Linked DNA regions of Macaca fascicularis. The protein of the gene in region 2 interacts with the protein of the main gene of each other region in a pairwise test. Links are inferred from orthologs where the notes say so. Each region holds a gene or a part of one and is shown on either strand. Other genes may lie near its edges.

Region 1 (3,082 bases), on a different chromosome or scaffold from region 2:
ATCTTGCTGTGTTGCTCAGGTTTGTCTCAAACTCCTGGCCTTGAGCAATCCTCCCACCTTGGCCTCCCAAAATACCACTGCACCTGGCCAAAAACACTATACACTTTTTTCCCCCAGAACTCCCCCTGCCCCCAGGCAATGATTAAATAAAGAAAAAAAAATGTTCCCTTGTATTCTGGTTTTAATTTAGATCTTTACTTAATTGGACCTGTAACTTCTCACTCTAGGCTGTCTATCTAATAATTACAAAAAAAAAAAACAAGCAGATTGTAAAGGTGAAAAGTTATGAACCTGATGTAGACACAATGGTCATCAAAGACCGGACTTACATAACTGCTGAGGTAATGAGTAATGTAAGTGTTAATCTTCTTATTCTATAACTTTTTCTTGGTTGAATCAGCAGATCTGCCCAAGGTCTGATGATTGATCATGCCTGACAAGCTGGATGTATCAGATGTAGTTTTTTAAGGATTCACCTTTTCGTCTGCTTTTGGTATTTTCTATCTTAGGCTGCTAGCTGACCTCATTTTTCCCCTAAGAGCTTTTCTTGCAACATGAATATTGAACTGGTTATTGCAAGCTTTCTTATTAAGACAAACATCCAGGCTTCTACAGGATCTGTCTTTTTTACGAAACGTACCCTTCATTTCTTGCTTGTTCTGCTTATACATTTCTACTTTCTTTGCTTCTGATGGCTTCTGATTTTTCTTGTCCTGTTTACAGTTTATCTGAATTGGCTTCTCTTGCAGAGTTCCCTGTTTCTGATGATGGAGTTCCTTGAGAATCTCTACTCTCTGCTGTAAGATTTGGCATTCATTCTCTAGCAAAGCTGCCATCAACTGCAATGAATAGGTGTCATGGCTCAGTTTCTTCACCTGTTCCTCCAGCTCATGCTTAGCTGACACTTCATTATTTGGCTGGGTTTGGAAGTCGACTCCATTATTTCTGAGAGTTTCACTTACGTCTTTCTGAGATTTCTGATAGGATTTTATCAGTTCACTGAGCTCAGTATGTTGTTTACTCCAGTGTTCTGCTTCCTGTAGTAATTGCTCCATGTTGTTCCTAATTTTCATAGTTTCTTCTTGAACATTAAGGAGCCTGTTTTTCGCTTTTTCCTGACTTTGTTGAGTTTCGTTGACTTTTTTTTCTTCTAAACGATTTACCAAATCTCTTGCAAAAACTTGTACTATGTTCTCAGAGTCCTGGTTTTCCAATATCATCTCCTGTTTATGTTCATTCTCTTCTTTCTCTGGGGCTAAATTAACAGGCAGGTTTGTTGATAACATTTCATTGATTTTGTCAAGTCCTCTGATATTTTCTTTGTGGGCTGACACATCCTCAGAAATATTGGTTTCCTCAAAAAGTTCTTTTGCTTCTGTGATCTTCTCTTCAAAACCTGCCATATTTTTAAGAATATCTTTAATTTCTTTCAAGAGACTGTTAAACTTCTCTGCAGTCTGTTGTTCTGTAACTTGATGGCTGCTATTCTTTAGGGAAGGGAGAGAGCCCCAGGAGGAAGGGGAAAGTGATCCAATTTCGAATAAGGCAATGGTAATCCTAGGGTCCAGAGATTCTTGATGAGGATCAGGAGTAGGGTTAAGGGTTTTGGAGATGGTGGGCATCTCAGCTGACTTCGCAGAGTTGGCCATTGGGACAGAAGGAAAGCAGAAAACCTTAGAGATTCCAGGATGGACAGGTGATGTTCCTTCGTGCAAATGTGGCTGGAGATCAAGCAGAAGTCAGGGACCAAAGTTAAGGATTAAAATTGGGGAGCTGATGTTTAGGTGGAAGGTGGCATCTCAGACAGCCTTGTGGGGAGGAAGGGTGGGAAAGGGGACCAGGGCTGGGGCTCCATCTCTTCTCCTCTAGGCACCCGGTGTTTATTCTCTGGCCCTAGCAACCAGGTCTTTATTTTGTCACTGCACCATTGTGGCCTATCCGTAGCGTCACAATGGAAGTCTCTTAAATTCCTGCCCAGTGACTCCTGCATCAAAATCCACCTTGAGCTACCCCTACTCCTCATGCCAGAAAGAGCTCATCAACAGCTCTTCCCCTCAATTTCTAGGTTGCTATTCATCTCAGTCTAAATGCACTCAGTTACTTCCCTACCTCACCTCTATCCCCTCACAATCCTGACCTCAACCGCAGCATGTTTTGACCACTTAAGGGCATTGCTGAGACCAGTCCTCTCTGGTGAGGTACCCATCCTTTCATGGCACCCACAGGCTTTATTGCTCCCATCCTAGGAGAGATGTGACTGTAAGAGAAAGTTATCCACACAAAACAAAACCCTGAGAGTGAGAGCCTTTTGTGATTTTAGGAAAGTAATGTCAGGAGTCCCTCCATTCAAAAATATTCTACTGCTGCAAGAAGGGACTATCTGAATGGTTATTTATAATAGCAACACAATTACAAACTGGGACTTTTCTTGGCTTTGAATATAGGCATCCTTTAAGACAGGCTTGGCAAGCTTACTCGCAAATCATTTACATCAGGTGATAGAAAACTTTGACCATTACTTTTCACAGTAACTTATTTGGGGATTTTTTTTTTTTTTTGGCTCTTTTATTGATCCTCTAAGATTTCTACACTCTACACAGTAACTTGTTAAAATGACACAATTATGTTTCTAAAGTGTTTGATTAGCAGGGCATGGTAGTGTCTGCCTGTGGTCCCAGCTACTTGGGAGGCTGAGGCGAGAGGATCACTTGAGCCTGGGAGGCTGAGGCTGCAGTGAGCCATGACTATGCTACTTATTGCACTCCAGCTTGGGCAACACAGCAAGATCCTATCTCAAAAAATTAAAAAATTGGCCAGGTGCAGTTGACTCATGCCTGTAATCCCAGCACTTTGGGAGGCTAAGGCAGGCAGACCACTTGAGGCTGGGAGTTCAGGATCAGCCTGGGCAACATGACGAAACCCCATCTCTACTAAAAATGAAAAAATTAGCTGGGCATGGCAGCACACACCTGTAATCCCAGCTGCTCGGAAGGCTGAGGCATGAGGCTTGCTTGAACCCGGAAGGAGGAGGTTGCAGTGAGCTGAGATCGGTGACAGAACAAGACACTGCCTCAAAAAAAAA
Region 2 (3,500 bases):
GACAGCTTATTGCAGAACTGGAAAACAAAAACAGGTAAGAGCGCAGAGGCTGAGCCCACTTCCAAAGTCCAGGATTATCTGATTATCATTTTCCTTGGATGGCTTTTGACCGCCCAGGAAGACCTTGCCGTGGTGAACCTAGGCTAGCCGAAGTCCAGGGAATGCCCTGGGCACTGATTTGTGTCTGTCTGCTCTGGTAGTCCACAGCTCTGCTCACCTGCCCTCGGGGGATTCCTTTTAGCAGGGCCTTCTCCCACCCATCCGTGTGACCCCCTCTCACAATTGCATTTTTCACTCTGCTTCCCAGCAGCATTTTGCTGTATCTAGTCATCTTGTCCTGACCCATTATGCTATGTAGGACTGTCTGGTCTCTCCTTAAAAAAAAAAAAAAAAAAAAGAAAAACCATTTAAAGGCACAGAGAGCAGACAGCACACCATTATGTACTGAAAGGTAGAAGCCAGGTCGAGGAGACCTGACCTAAGGTAACAGGCGTAGGTAGAGGCAACACAGCTGTCCACTGGGGCATCGGGGACAGGGGGAAGGAAGGGGCAGGTAAGGATTAAGGGAAGTCAGCACAGGACCTGCATTAGGAGATTGCAAGGAGTTCCCTTTTCCTCCTCCCTGAGTGGAACAGAGTAAATAAAGTATTCTGGCTGTAATTTTCCTTTCATGGAGATTTTTCAGGTCCTTGAGAAGAGTATTTTTATGACTTTTTCCACCACAAAGGATTGCTTTGTTGAGGAAATGTCAGGTGAAGCAGTATTGAGAAGGTGTCCATTTCACCTCTTGGCCATTTGGAAGCAATCAGAACAAGATTGGTAGAGGAGGCGCTGCTAGAGTTGAACACTTGTAATAGGGAAAGAGGGAGCGTGAGTGAGAAGCACTGTGCAGCCCCTTTCCATTCACACGTCCTCTCCAGAGAGATCCTGCAGGAGATTCAGCGTCTCCGCCTGGAACACGAGCAGGCCTCCCAGCCCACCCCTGAGAAGGCACAGCAGAACCCCACGCTGCTGGCAGAGCTGCGGCTGCTGAGGTGAGTAGGGACACTCTACCACTTCCCACATGTAATCTGCTATGGATGGAACTTGTCTGAGGAAACCAAAGGAGTGGGGAAGAATCTGTTGTTCAGTATAAACAATCCTGTGAGAGCAAACCACTGCAGAGTTCACCCATTCTGTTACTGCTTCAGATGTCTGGGTTCCATTAGAAATCACTCTACGAATGTCAGCCATTATCACAGAACTTAGTAAATACCAGTCTCCCAGCTCCGGAACCAGCGGGGCACTGTTTATACTTCTGTGATTGCTTTAAGAAGACCACTGTGCTGCAGTCCCTCTTCTTATCTTGCTAATTTGTCTGACTTTGGAGACAGTTGGCGGGAAGAATGCTTTGCTTTTCCTGTGAGTATATTTTCCTGGCTCTTTACAGTCAGTGCAGGGCTCTGCCAAAGGAGAAGGATGCTTCCTGTGCACGTCTCTGAGACATGAAACCCTTGCACCATGGCTTCTAAATGAAGTGTCTCAAGAATCAGGAAACTAAGGACATAGAATGAGAATGGGATTAGAGAGCAGTGTTACCACCATGTGTGACGCTGTTTTGGAGGGAATGGGGAAGTCTTCACAGAAATGATCTGATTATTAGGGTCTTATTGCCTATGAGCCTTAGGGGAAGGGGTGTGTGTGTGTGTGTGTGTGTGTGCACGCACATGCGTACACACTCTTCTGTAAGTTAAGATATTATGGAAACTACATTTAGTGACTTGATTCTCACCAGATCTCTAGATTTTCAAATAGTGGGTTCTTTCTGTTTAGGTTGATTTTTAATTTGCTATTATCTGGGATTCTGTGTAGCCTCTTGTTTCTTTTCCCAGAGAATGGAGATTATTGTTTTCTGTAGATAGTTTAGATTTAGATCATCAATAAAAGTTGTCATAGTAGAGTCATAAAGAATTTAAACTGGTGCAGGTGAAAAAAATCATTAGATGTATAGAGATTTTCATTCTCCTAAAAATTTATTTTAGTTTCTTCATGTAGTTAGGCTGAGATTTGGGTGGCTCTGTGGTTCACTGCTGCACGTCTGGGGTGTTAGTACAGCTGGTGTCGTACTAGGGAGGATGGGAGCACAAATGTTGCTGACTTGGGCAGACTGTAAGTCTAGGCTGTTGGCATAAGATGCACCTGTTGTCTAGTGCCTGATTTTATATCTAGAAAAGCAAAAAGGCCTGTCATCCTGAGTCTAACTGTTGCTGAAACTGGGATTGCTGAAAATGCTCAGTTAAGCTGGAAGGATCTAAAAATTATCTTAGATGTCGTAGCAGGGCTAAGTCCAGGAATGTCACATAGGATAGCAAGAAGCAGGAATGTAATCTGAGACCAACGAGCATCTGAAGGTGGAGAAATCAGAAAGTTTTTAACCTCAAAAGGAGTTCCTATATCACTGAAGAAAGGAGGGACTATTTTAAATTGTGCTGGGACAGTTGTTTATGCCTATGTACAAAACATGTTGGTCTTCTACCCCACACTAATTACAAAAACCGACACCAGATGGATTCGACATGAATACAGAACTTTAAAACTTCTAAAAGACTCGGGAGGCTGAGGCAGGAGAATTGCTTGAACCTGGGAGGCTGAGGTTGTGGTGAGCTGAGATTGCGCCATTGCACTCCAGCCTGGGCAACAAGAGCGAAACTCTGTCTCAAAAAAAAAAAAAACTTTCTAGAAGAAAAGTAGGAGAATGTCTTCAGGATTTTGGAATAGAAAGTAATATCTTAGAATTACCATGAAAGAAGAAGTTGGTAAATCCACTTATATTAATATTAAGAACTTTTGCTTATCAAAAGACACATAAAGGGCTGGATTCGCTTGTAGGTATCTGACATCCGTCTGCTTTTGATCAGTGTGTATGAGGCCTGGGACTGCCAGTACCCAGTTAGTATAATAAAACAAGGTGGACAACTTCACCCATAGGGTGAGTGGCTATGAGCCTTGCACCAGGGTTGCCTTTTCTTCCTTTATTATTATTTTTAATGGTATGTTGCTTACAATAAAATGTATGACAAATGTGCGTGTGACAAACGTTTATGAAGCATAATAGTCAAATGAATACTTATGAACCCACATCCTATTTGAGAACTCATATATGACTAAAACAATGTCATCCATAGAAGTACCTCTCCCTTACCCCATTTCCTTGCCTTCACCTTCCCCACTGGGTGAACCCCTATCCAGAATTTGGTTTATCATTACCTTGTGTTTAAAACAGTATTATCGCATTATCACTATCCTATGTAATAAACTGTTTAGTTTTGCCTTTTGTTTTCTGATCTTAATAGAAATATTGTACTAATATGGTGGGGATAGTCCCAGAGGACTTCCCTGTATACCCCCTACCCCTACCATATTAGCCTTTAGGATCATTCCATGTGGTTGGATGTAGCTGTAGCTCATTCATTTTCACCCTATACCATAATTGTTTGGTCACACACAGTACAGATAAAGAA
Region 3 (4,040 bases), about 24 Mb from region 2:
GAGTTTTGCTTATGATGTCATAGACATCAACAGAAATTCTACAATTGAAATTAAAGATGAGTCAGCAAGGATGAGAAACATACCCAAAGCATAGAAGGAATGGGTAACCTTCTTAGGAGGTCAGAGGCTTCATTCATCTCATGCAGCAATTCCTATCTGTAAACAGATGATTAAGTGGTGCCCTTAGCAAATGCACTTTTAAAATGACCTAATGTGCCCCTTTCAGTGGGCAAGCTCATCGTATAAACGGGCACGTTCCTAGCTCATGTCAAGGATTCTTCCCGTGCCCCAGACAGAAGTAGTGCTGTCATTTAAAAGCAGCAAATATGCTGTAAACATCAACCAATAGTAGTCTTTGAAGCTACAAGCAAGACACACTTAGCACATTGTACTGAGGGTTGTCTGTCCGTGGGATTTTATCACGGACAGACAAAATCCAGGTATGGTCAGAGACAGAGCTCCATGAACTGACTTAACTTAGAAAAAGACATCGAGAACAGGCACGAGAAAGGGGACACAAGACAGTTTTGCTACTGAACAGGAGACCTTCAAATGTGGCCAAATTCCATGATTCAGACAAGGAGTCATGATAAAGAATGTGTACGGTTTCAACTCCAGATAGAAAAAAAAATGACTAGAAAGGTAAGATTTAGAAAAGACTTTCACCTTTTTCCAGTTAAAAGCACCAAGTTCTCTTCACTGAAATGATGAAATAATTACACAAGTTGAATAATATTATGCAGTTATGGTAAGAAAATAATTCTGCGCAGTTGTCTCTGCCATTAAGCAAGGATGACATTGTATGCTAAGAACATTCAAGACAAACCTGCCAACACCGATACTTAACAGATTCGTTTTAAATAAATAAGAATCTGAGCTAACACGACCGTGTCTAATGTCTAAGGTAGGCTAAGGTGTCTAAGGTAGGCTCAGCACCTACCTAATTACTTATGACTGCAAAGTTAGGAGTCGTGGTCTTAAAACGCTCCGTCTTATTGTAATAATTGGCTTCCAACGCTGAAAAAAAAGTTTCTTTCAACACAATTCAGATAGGCTGTTTCAAATAATCAAGGTCCTTATTACAAAGAAAGCACCAATCACATCTTGTAGCAAACAGGTGAGCAGAGGCCACCCTTGACTGGAAAACATCAAATTCAGCCCCTTAATTAACACTGAGCACAAATGAGAACATTTACTAGAATACGCGCAGTTGCTGTATTTGTTGACGTTATTGCCAATAACTCATCAAGTGGGTCAATTATGAAGTATGATGAATCCACTTCAAAGCTTCTGCTATAATTACAATGATTAAAAGCAAGACTTGCTGCAAGAATGTCTCGAGAAAAACGCACAATTCCTAACCATGGGAGGGCATCATTTTAAAGCTGAAGGCGGTGACCAGAGGGAAAGCTGTGATTCCAGAGCGCCTGCAGTTTTTACTGCAGTTTATTTCCAGGTAATCCCCGCGTACTTTCTCGGGTTTGATTACCATGGGCAACAGCGGGATGGCTATTCATGTTACAAATACGTCAAGAAATAAACACCCACATTTTACATGAAATTTAATTTTCATATTTTGTAGTAAAAGCCCAGAAAGGTACGACTTGAATGAAGATGCATCTATCTCCATAATTTTTAACATCACACAGTAGCTACAACCACTGTCCTAGTTTAGAATCGTTATTATGACAATAGGAATGTGTAGCAGCCCTCAGCCTGTGGCCTTCTGAACCGTCTCTCAGCTGTCCTATTCCTGGTGGCTCCGGGGACTGGGAGCTCCTGGGGAAGGAATCCTAAAGGAGTGGTTGTCAATGCATTTTCCTGAACAGCCGCGCTCCCAGGCAGCTTCCTAGGGCTGGGGTGGCCACGTGCTCCCTTAAACTGCTTTCACAACTTGGGGCTGTGCTGTGGGTGGCAACTTGAAGGTTTCCAAGAACTTTTCGTTTTTCTTTGAACTAATACTTGTTTTCTGTCAATCAATAGTTTAGTTATTTAAAAGTAAGAAGGTAGAGAGGGAGTTATTTCGGGTAAGAACTAGAATAGACTTCAAAAAAGAAACCGTATTACCCAGTTGGCGTCCCAGCGGCTCCCCGAATGGCCAAGAGCCCCCAGCACCTGCCGAGGCCGCGCCACGCACCTGGCCAGGCTCACTCCAGCCAGCTCAGACCCGGCCTGGGCGCCAGAAGGCTGCAGGGGGGACGCTCCGGTCCGCACCACCGCCTGGACCCAAAGGAGCCGCTCCTGGGAAGGAATGTGGGGCCGATCTCAAATTCCAAATTCTGGAAAGCGTTACCTCCCACGCAGTTTAGGGAAGCCCGTGCACCCCAAAACCAAGCCTTGCAAGACACTCGAAGAGCAAAGCCTGCAAGTTTCCAGTAAGACACCGCGCTGGAGGGAGCAGAGCGGCCAGGGGGCGGGTGCCCATTGCGTCCCGGGGCTCCGGCGTCCACCCTCCGACCAGCCGCCCGCGGAGACAGGGAAGGGGTCGCGGGGAACGAGGTGGGCGTGGAGGGAGACGGGCGCGAAGGAGAAGGAAGCGGGCCGGGGGTGCAGGGGCGCAGAGGGGCCGCACTCACCCGCGCAGGCACCAGCAGGCAGCCCGGACGTCCGCGGGGGGCGGCCGGGGGCGGGGGTCCCTCGGTGCTCATCGCTACCCCTGCGGCTGGGTCCGCGCTCCGGGCCGGCCGAGCTCAACGCCAGGACCCCGCCCTGGAGCCAGGAGCCTGGCGTCCGCGCCCCTCGGCCGGCTCCGGCTCCGGCTCCAGCTCAGGCTACAGCGGGGCGCGGAGCTGGGGAACCCGAGCTCCGCCCGCCGCCCGGGAGCGCCGCCCACGCAGACCCGCCCCGGGTGAAGGAGGGGCCGGGCGCGCACCCGCGGGGAGGGCGGCGAGCGCGGATCCGCGGGAGTCGGGAGAGGGGCGCTCCCACGGGTCGGGAAACCGGCGCGCGACTCCGGGGAAAGTGCCAGGATTGGGGGACAGGGGCGCTCCCGCGGGGGTGGAGGGGGCACCATCGCGGGGCCGGCGGGGCAGGGGCCGGCGCACGAGGCTGGAGGCGGGGAGCGCGCGCTTCTACCCGGGCTGGGTCGCCGAGGTCCGCGGCGCGCGGCGGCGGCGGGTGGGTGGATGGGAGGGGGGCACCCCCGCTCCTTTGGGGCGCAGACGGGCGCGCTGTGGACCGGCTTGACGACCTCTCCCGGCCGCCCCACCTCCCTGGCCAAAGGTTCTCAGCTTCTCATCAGGGGCATTTCCAGTCCACAGCCTCGAGGCCCATGGGTCCTCCCGGGCCCTCTGAAGCCCCCACACCTGTGCGCGCCGGCCGCATCCTCAGACCTTTCCCCACGGCGTCTCCCCAGCCCTTGGAGAAACAGCGCAGGGCCCGAGGATGTCCTGACCCAGAGAAAAGATACAGAAGCCCCAACTTCCCCCAACCCCGCTCCCCTCCTCCTCCTCCCACCCTCCCTTCCCGCCCCCAAAGCTCGGGCCCCCCATCCCGCCTCCGGTCCGCGGAGTCTCCCGGACCCTGCGAGGACCCGGCGCTCGGCGGTGCCTTCCTGGGGCTCATGGGGCGGGGGCTGGAGCGGGGAGACCGGGTGGGGAGGGGACCCCAGATCTCAGGCGCCCGCGGAGGCGGCGGTTCCCGCTGTTCATTCAGGTTTGTGCCAAAAGGAGCCTCACAGATGCGGTATTGGGTTTGGTAGACTCAAACCGTCCCGTTTTAATGTAAATGAAAGTAAGTTTAGGATAGATTCCAGTGCGGCGGGGGAGTGAGGGGGCATACAAGGCTACCCACTTTTTTTTTTTTTTTTTTTTTTTTTTTTTTTTAAGACGGAGTCTCGCTCTGTCGCCCGGGCTGGAGTGCAGTGGCCGGACCTCAGCTCACTGCAAGCTCCGCCTCCCGGGTTCCCGCCATTCTCCTGCCTCAGCCTCCCGAGTAGCTGGGACCACAGGTGCCGCCACCTCGCCCGGCTAGTTTTTTGTATTTTTAGTAGAGACGGGGTTTCACCGTGTTAGCCAGGATGGTCTCGATCTCCTGACCTC
Region 4 (3,997 bases), on a different chromosome or scaffold from region 2:
ATGGGTGTTAAGATTCTGATACGGAGCCCTAGAGAGGAGACGGTGAGTCAGCGGCAGAGGAAGAACCAGAACCCAGGGCTGCAGACCTCCGTCCAGGACTCTCCACTAAGGCTAGTGACCAGCTCTCGGCAGGAGGGGGAGCCAGGAGAGAACCCTGCGGGGTGATTCTAGACCAACATGGCAAGTCCTAGGGTCACCTTCCGATCTGTCCCAGGGATCCTTACCTCCCTTAGGGGGAGCAGCCACACCTCCCCACCACCATGGCCTCCACACTCCAGCAGGGCACAGCCTCTCTAAGTCTTGAGACTTGAACACTCTACACTCTCCCCATCACTTTCAGGCCTTGGGCCAAGCTCTGGTAACACGCCTTGACCCCTTCATCTGTTCAGCAACTACTCAGCCCTTGGGCCCCACCTCCTCTGACCCTGGGTAATGATTTGTGGACTATGTTCAATAGTCATGGACTCATGGGCTGCAGCCAGTCCCTCCCATCCCTCCCTTCCATCCATCCATCCATCCATCCCTCCCTCCCATCCATCCATCCATCCATCCATCCCTCCCTTCCATCCATCCATCCCTCCCTCCCATCCATCCCTCCCTCTCTCTCATCCATCCATCCACCCATCCATCCATCCCTCTCTCCCATCCATCCATCCATCCCTCCCTCCCTCCCTCTCATCCAACCATCCATCCATCCATCCATCCATCCATCCATCCATCCATCCCTCTCTCCCATCCATCCATCCATCCATCCCTCCCTCCCTCCCTCTCATCCAACCATTCATCCATCCCTTCCATCCATCCATCCATCCATCCATCCATCCATCCGTCTATCCATCCATCCACTCTTCAACATCAGGAGTGCCTGCAGGAGTAGGGAAGCTCCTTCAAAGTGTTGCCGTGGAGATGATGCGTGGAAATGCTGATCCAGGGCCCAGCACATAGCAGGCGTTCCATAAATGGCAGCTATGTGGGCCAGACCCTGTGCCCTAGTCTTGGGAGAGTGGATGGAAGATCATCCAGATTGCTTAGGGCTCATTTCCTCTCCCCGGCCCTGGGATCTGACAGGTGTCCCCCCACTCCACTCCAGCCCATGGAAAACTCATCCTCCAAGCTGAGGTCCTAGGCAGCCCTCCTCCCCACTCAGCTCCCAGGTGCGAACAGTTCCAGGTTTTGACGACAAACGGAACGCGGAGCGTAGGAATCTATAAATATGAGACAAAAGCTGGGGAGGGCCCTGGGCAGCAGCGCAGCCGCCCATCGCCCCGAGCCCGCGTTCCGAGCCCAGGCAGAGCCGCATCTGCCACGGTGCTTGCTTTTCCAAGCCGCCCTGATTATAGTGAGAGTCGGGAAAATTAAGGGTTTGCAGGATGCTGCTGGGGCCCTTGTTGCCGTCTCCCCGCCCTTCGTGTCACAGATGCCAGGCAGAGCCACCCCCAACGGCCACTTGCCTCGGTTGGCAAGACCAAGCCCAGCCTGGCAGGGCTGCACACCACAGTTTGTTAGGGGCTTTTGCCCACAGTCCTCGTGGGAGCCTGGCCCTGGGAGTGGTGGGGGTCGCTGCGGCTCTTGACAGGCAGAGGAACTGGGGCCCAGAGAAGGAAAAGGACCTGTCCATGGCCTCCAGAGAGCCAGAGCACTGGGGCCTCCGACGGAGCGTGGCCGTGGAGACCCCGCCCCACCCATACCCCCAGGACTGGACCCCCAATCTGCACTGGCCCGACCTTGGCCATGCGGACTCTGCACGTGCAATGCTCCCTACCCATCCGGCCCGCTCCCGGGTGCCCACTCTGCTCCCATTCTGCCTGCTCAGGAGACTCCAGCGTGTCGCCCACGCTGTTCCTGCCCTGAGGAAACCACATTGGGGATGGGGTGGGGCACAGATGAGGAAGGAAACACCTCTAAACCAAGCAGGAAGCGGAAACGCTGGGGCAGAAATTCCCATCCAACGTGCTGGGGCTCAGGGAGGGTGAGCGCGCTGGCTGAGCCGCTCTGGGCGAGGCCCTGGCCTCCCTGAGCCTCAGTTTCCTCGCCTGTAAAGGGGCAGGAGGATAGTACCTGCCGCGAGGCACTGAATGGGATGGTGGTGTCCGAGGCTCGTGCGCGCCCACGCGCTGCAAACGCTCAATGAGGCGGCCCCGGGTCCAGCCTCCTTCCGGCTCCCGGGCCTTTCTCCGGCCTCCCGAGCAGGGGCTGGCCCTGCCCCCTGACGCAGGCGGGTCCAGGCCTGCCCGCACCCTCGCCACCCGCCTGGGACAGCGGCGCGTCCCCAGTCCTCCAGCCGCGCCCTGGGTCCCCAGCCCCTCCCTTCCTCCCGCCGCAGGGGCGCGCGTGTCAGGGCGCAAGGACCCCGCGATCGGACCCGGGCGCTCGCGGCGGCGCGCGGAGGCCGGGCATCCCCGCCCCACCCGAGAGTGCCCAGTTCCCAGGAGACCCGGCCCGGCTCCTCCCGGGCCAGTGAAGCCGCCACGGCGGGGGCGCCGCGCGGAGGGGAGCAGGGCGGGGAGCCGGCCACCTCCGGCGCCGAGCAGGGACCGCCCCAGGCGTGGGTGGCGCCCGCCCCGCCTCCGCGCCCGCGCCCGCGCCCTGCCCTCCCGGCTCGCAGGTACTCACCGCCCGGCGCAGCCGGCCCGGCCGGCGACCGCCTGTCCACATGGCCCCGGGGCAGCCGCGCCGCTCACCGCCGCCGCCGCGCTCGGGTCCCGCCGCCGCCGCCGCTACCGCCGCCCCCTCCCCTCCGAGGCCGAGCGCGCCGGGAGCCGGCGCGGCCGGGGCTCCCCCACCCCGCCCGGCTTCCCGCAGGGAGCGCCCGCCCCCCGCCCCCAGCCCGGCTCCCCGCCAGCCCCGGCCCCGCGCAGCCGCGGCTGAGCCCGCACTTCCCCCCCGCAGCGCTCGGCCGGGGCGCACGTGGTGGGCGCAGGGCCGGGCAGGGGCGCGGGGGTGCGGCGTGCGCGGGGGGCGGGCGAGGAATGGCAGAGGGGCAGGGAATGAATGAACCCGCGCGTGCATGAATGGCAGAGTGCATGAATGAATGAGTGCGGTAGAGCCTGCGGGAGGAATGAATAAATGAGGGAACTAATGCACGGGCGCGAAGGTGAGTGACAGAGTGAATGGGCCCTTGAAACCCAGAGGCCGTCAGTAACAACCTGCCCAACCTTTTCATCGGTCCATCCATTCAATCCCTCAACATTTATTAGACGCCTTCTGTGTACCAACCAGCCTCGTTCTAGGCCCCAGGGGGTACAGCAGCCAGAGAAACCAAGCTCCTGCCCTCGCAGAGTCACATTTTACAGATGAGGAAACCCTGGTTCCCAAGGGTGCCGCCTGGCCAAGCTGCCCCTGCTCTGCCCCAGCCCCCAGTCGGTGGCTCTCAGGGCCTTCTTTCTCCCCAGGGAGCTCTCAGGAAGGAAAGGTGGCTTCAGGAGGACCAGTGTTGCCCCCTGCCTCTCCCCCTAGTCTGAAGCATCCCACCGACCTGCCCGGGTAGAGCCCAGGCTGGCTCAGTCCCGCCCTGGTAAAGGTACAGTGTGAATCCTCCGCTTTCCTCCCAGAGCGGGCAAGGGGCAGCCCTGAGGGTGCCAGCTACATGAGGGTCTTCCATCCCAGCCAGGCCAGCAGCAGCCAGCGTGGGAACCCCGGGAGGAGCACTGGCAGCCGGGGAGGGTCCTGCATGGTGGAAACAGAGCTGACAAAGCCCGTGTGCTTTGCTCATATCCTCTGTCTGGACCTATGGGCTCATGGTTCACACATGCTTATATCATTTCCAAGTACATGGCAGATTAGAAGATGCTGCCAATGAGTACCTTGTACATTTTTGTTTTTTAATTGCAGAAAACATGGAAAACATAACATTTACCATTTGAACCACTTTTAAAGTGTACAGTTTGGGGACATTGAATTCCCACTGTTGTGCTACCATCACCACCATCCTTATATGCTGTATGTTGTATGCTTTGCAGTTTCTACACTCTCTCATTTAATCTGGGGAGTAGGTTGC
Region 5 (4,276 bases), on a different chromosome or scaffold from region 2:
ATTGATGAAAGAGTATGATAAATCATTTTTAATAAGTTAGGAAAATATTACAATAGAAAGTGGGAGGAGAAGGAAAGTTTGGGAAATCAGTTTGTTTTACTCTTGAGATAAAATTTTGATGAAAGATAATAAAATAGAATTTTGAAAAACACCTGATGTTTCCAAGGCAATGATTTTAATCTCTTTTATTAAACTACACAAGTGGTTAAAAACTTGACAATTTGTTTCATATATAGCAAATGACGTGGAGTACAGGGATTTCAAATGAATGCTATAGGAATAAAGAGGAAGCTGTATTAATATCTCTGCCCAAATGATGAATTTGCAATTCAGTACTGTCTAGCTAGAAGTGTCAACCAACACCTATTTCCCCTTAAATAATGTAATTATGCATAAAACACTTTGTAGTCTTTTTTAAAGTTTAGAATAACATCTATATGACATACTCTGTTGTATTTTTCATAATGTTATGCCATGTAAGATACACCAAAACTTTGTATTAACAGTATATCATCAATTTAGATCAGCGATCTCTTTTTCATAGTTAAGATGTCTTTAAAAGATTCTGCAAATGAAATTCTAAAAGATGATTTTGTTAGACCTCAAGATGACTTACATCATTTAAATATATTCAAATGAAATATCTATTTGCCATACACTATTTGAATAATTCTTTACAATGCATTATTTGAGTAATTCTAAAAGTAAACAATACAATGTGTTTGACAATACAGTGATCTCTTTTACAGAGTAACTATTCTGTTTAAAAAACAAAATGTACTTTTATAAGTTTTTCAAACTAAGGCGAATTTACAAACCAGATTCAAATGTCAGACATCCAAATAGTAGTATATTGTCAAGCAACAAAATTTAATGTATAATATAGCCCTGAGTATATCTCCATTTTCCTTAACAAACTCATTGTCATGTTGCATAGGCATTACTTGATGATTTTTTAAATGCAGTGTGAAAAAATCCTACAGGACATGTTCCAAAAAGATTACCTTCCTTCACATTCGAAGAACTGAAAGTTTTTCAACTATCTATGACAAAGCAGAGGATAGGTTTACCTTGCTTCATTCCAGCAGAATTGCATATATTCTTTCAAAATTGCTCTATATACTGGTATATGTGGTTAATTATATAGAATATATATATATATATAAAATCACTAGCGATTTTGATAGTATTTATATTACATATATCAAAGAAATAAAAATGATAAATAAAAATATGTGTATATGTGTATATTGCAAACAACAGATATATGCCATGCATATTTTTGTAATGATAGTAAATATAATAGTTTTTCAATCTAAAAGCAATAATGATACTCACCAAAAGAAATTTATGAAGCAAGCAAACAATGTAACTAAATGTTGTATTATAAAATCTGGTAGCTTTTAATGTGACTCAATACATGGACAATGTTAACTTATTTCCACAAATTTTTCACAGTGGTAAAACGTCTGCCTTTTTTTTTTTTTTTTTTAGTAGTTGTGGAGCATTACTTATTTGGAGAGACTTATTTTTTCATTCTTAATTATAGGCATCGCTCTCATATCTATTTTAGAATAACTATACTCCACAAGTCAAAGATAGGTGGGGAAGAGATAAACTCCCATCTTTTTGGGACACACAGTCCTTATCATATATTATTTTTACTGTTGTGCCACAGTCCATTTTTAAATCCTTCAATAGTCATCATGACTTTCTTAAAAATAAACAAAATAGTTGCATTTCTATATGGAAGACAAACTAAAAAATTGAACTGAAAAGCTAGCTCATGATAGACTTGAAACATCTACTAAATATAATTTACTACTAAACATAATTAGGAGTTCCTCAAGTTTGTATGTTGTTTTCCCAAGAGATCATCTGATCATTTGATAGCATAGATCACATCATTATTTGAAATAATCATCATGGTATGCTATAGAAAAGAGCATTTGAAATAGTAAATGTGAGAAAGCAACATTACAATTAAATCTTTATCAATACTTTTCACATCCTTCAATTTTCCATCCCAACTCATTTTATTCTTTATTTTCTCCATATGTCAGAGAAACTTCTCCTAACTTTTAGGCCTCCATGTAGTTCCTATACAGTAGTTAGTTCAATTGAGAATATATGTCAGGTCAGTAACCTTTATGTAACTGTTACTAAATACAGAAGTATCAACTAGTCAAAATAATAACTGAGATATACAAACTATCTCACAGCAATCAAAATAATCTGTTATAATCAAATGACATTCTGCATATTCTATTACTGCAGTGGCTTATTAATCAAGAAATCATGTGTTTAATTCTTCTGCAAAGAAAAACTTATAAACTCAATTTCTATTGAAAAGTTTTCCCAATGAAAAATATATATTCCTGAATAAATACATATATATATGCAGTATATATAACATTTATGCTTCTTTGCAAACTACTGTGATAATTTAAAATCAATCTACCTAATTAGTGAGTTTGTCACAAACTAAACATTATGCCACAGTAAAATACATTTTTAGTTACTTTGTACTTACAACAGTCCTCTACTTCTTCCCACCAAAGCATTTTGAAAAGTGTATATCAAGGCAGCGATTAAAAAAACCTGGTAAAGGTTCTTCAAACTTTATTGCTCCAGTAGGCTTAAAAACAATGAGAAACCAACAAACTTCAGCAGCTTTAAAAAAATAACACTTCAGTTTTTCCTATTCATTTTTCTCTGAAGGTAATTGCCTCTAAGATCTGAGTCCCGTAGGGGGAAAGTGAGTGATCCCAACACTGAGTGAGTCAACACAGTAACTGATGCCAGGATTCTGTAGAGGCCCCTGGATATTTCAAATTCCAGGACCTGCGCACAAGCAAGTGACCCGCCTTCTCTCTCAAGTTGGTTTCCCATAATAGGACTGTCCATGGTCACTACATATAAGGTTGTGCTTCCAGCATGGCAAGCTCTGTGAATTCAAATAATGCTCAACTGTGTTCTGATTAATATCCAAACCAGAATAGCACAGTGGACATAGTACTAGCTTTTAAAGCCTTCCAAACACAAAAACTATTCAGTACAAAACCATAACAATATTTTCTGTAACTTTCATGTGAATTTATAACAGAGCAGAAAATCCCGATTTAAAATTGACTTTTAAATGCCTTTTTTATCCTCTCAACAACACCAAAAATTTCACTCTACCAAATAAAAAGAAATGCCCAGAATAATCTATGCATTTGTTATGTATCCACTGCCTACCAAAGTTATTTTTTCCCCTTGAGATTTTTGATTGCAAAAGTCATGTATTGATGATGCCAACAGTCTGAATAAGAGAAGCAGCAGCAGAACACAGCAGCTGAATTCTGAAGGCAGAATGTGTGTGTAGGTCTCATGGGACATGTTTTCCTGCTAAAATAAAGAATATTCTTATAATGGAGCAAAGACATTTTTCTCAAATCCTAAATTTCAGTTGTGAATTATGATAAAACTTCTTTACTAACAAATTATTCTTTCTTCCATTTCTCTGCTGCCAATTCTTAAAACACCATTTTCTTAGACATTGAGTTAATGATCATTTAATGGTTCTGAATGCAGGCTCTTTTTTTTCTGTATTAAGTGAATGCAGTTGTATTATGTCATTCAGCATGTAAATCATTCTTTGCCAATAGAAGTCTTCTTCATCTTGTTCCTTATTACTTTTATGCAACAGGCGAGCCCCAAATTGATAGAAAACATTGGTAGCATTTTTTAAAGAAAGATATTCTTTTTATAGTTATAATAATCCCTACTAAAATTTTTGTTTGAGTGTTTTTATTGTACCATTTGTTAAAGTGACAGACTCATTTTTCTATGTCAAACATTCAACTGCTTGCGACTGAAATGAGTAATAGACAAAAATAAAAAAAAATTATAGAGTCAGACTGTGATGTTTACCTTAATAGTTAATTATACATTTTGCGTTTTAGAATATTATTGTCATAACATGGCTATTTTCCCCAGCAAAATGTGTATGAGATAAAACATAAGGCTTAATTTTAATTGAAAACATTCTTTTCCCTAGGTCACCTCCTTTCCTCTGTGTGGTTGTCTAAATATGCATATAAGCAAAATTTTCATAAAACAAAATGAAAAAAATGAAAACAATTGTTGTGGGGCTGATTTGGCTCTAAGTCTACATGTTAGCATCAGTGTCCCTCTATGCTATGAGGTACAATACTGCCCAGAGTATAAGTCCCCTTTATATCTTGTACTGTGAGTTTTCTACAAACATAAACCCTTGTTTAGGCCAAGGCAT

The links.
Region 1: the proteins of DTNB (region 2) and SPZ1 interact in binary tests that used the Homo sapiens proteins (3 or more experiments, as listed by UniProt). The two-hybrid records come from large-scale screens. The link is inferred for Macaca fascicularis from reciprocal best matches to the Homo sapiens genes DTNB and SPZ1.
Region 3: the proteins of DTNB (region 2) and SNTG2 interact in binary tests that used the Homo sapiens proteins (3 or more experiments, as listed by UniProt). The link is inferred for Macaca fascicularis from reciprocal best matches to the Homo sapiens genes DTNB and SNTG2.
Region 4: the proteins of DTNB (region 2) and BEGAIN interact in binary tests that used the Homo sapiens proteins (3 or more experiments, as listed by UniProt). The two-hybrid records come from large-scale screens. The link is inferred for Macaca fascicularis from reciprocal best matches to the Homo sapiens genes DTNB and BEGAIN.
Region 5: the proteins of DTNB (region 2) and DMD interact in binary tests that used the Homo sapiens proteins (3 or more experiments, as listed by UniProt). The link is inferred for Macaca fascicularis from reciprocal best matches to the Homo sapiens genes DTNB and DMD.

What each region holds. Positions count from the first base shown.
Region 1 is NC_088380.1:84,272,909-84,275,990, reverse strand, and holds SPZ1 (spermatogenic leucine zipper protein 1), read right to left. Parts: upstream 1,713-3,082; 5' UTR 1,650-1,712; coding exon 501-1,649; downstream 1-500. UniProt on the Homo sapiens protein: Transcription factor that binds to the DNA sequence 5'-CANNTG-3'(E box) and the G-box motif. May play an important role in the regulation of cell proliferation and differentiation during spermatogenesis.
Region 2 is NC_088387.1:96,815,695-96,819,194, forward strand, and holds part of DTNB (dystrobrevin beta), read left to right. Parts: coding exon 1-34; intron 35-920; coding exon 921-1,034; intron 1,035-3,500.
Region 3 is NC_088387.1:121,138,741-121,142,780, forward strand, and holds the start of SNTG2 (gamma-2-syntrophin), read right to left. Parts: upstream 2,801-4,040; 5' UTR 2,649-2,800; coding exon 2,577-2,648; intron 2,254-2,576; exon of another isoform or gene 2,242-2,253; coding exon 2,068-2,241; intron 1-2,067. UniProt on the Homo sapiens protein: Adapter protein that binds to and probably organizes the subcellular localization of a variety of proteins. May link various receptors to the actin cytoskeleton and the dystrophin glycoprotein complex.
Region 4 is NC_088381.1:168,677,852-168,681,848, forward strand, and holds the start of BEGAIN (brain-enriched guanylate kinase-associated protein), read right to left. Parts: upstream 2,801-3,997; 5' UTR 2,656-2,800; coding exon 2,614-2,655; intron 1-2,613. UniProt on the Homo sapiens protein: May sustain the structure of the postsynaptic density (PSD).
Region 5 is NC_088395.1:33,307,148-33,311,423, forward strand, and holds the start of DMD (dystrophin), read right to left. Parts: upstream 2,801-4,276; 5' UTR 2,565-2,800; coding exon 2,534-2,564; intron 1-2,533. UniProt on the Homo sapiens protein: Anchors the extracellular matrix to the cytoskeleton via F-actin. Ligand for dystroglycan.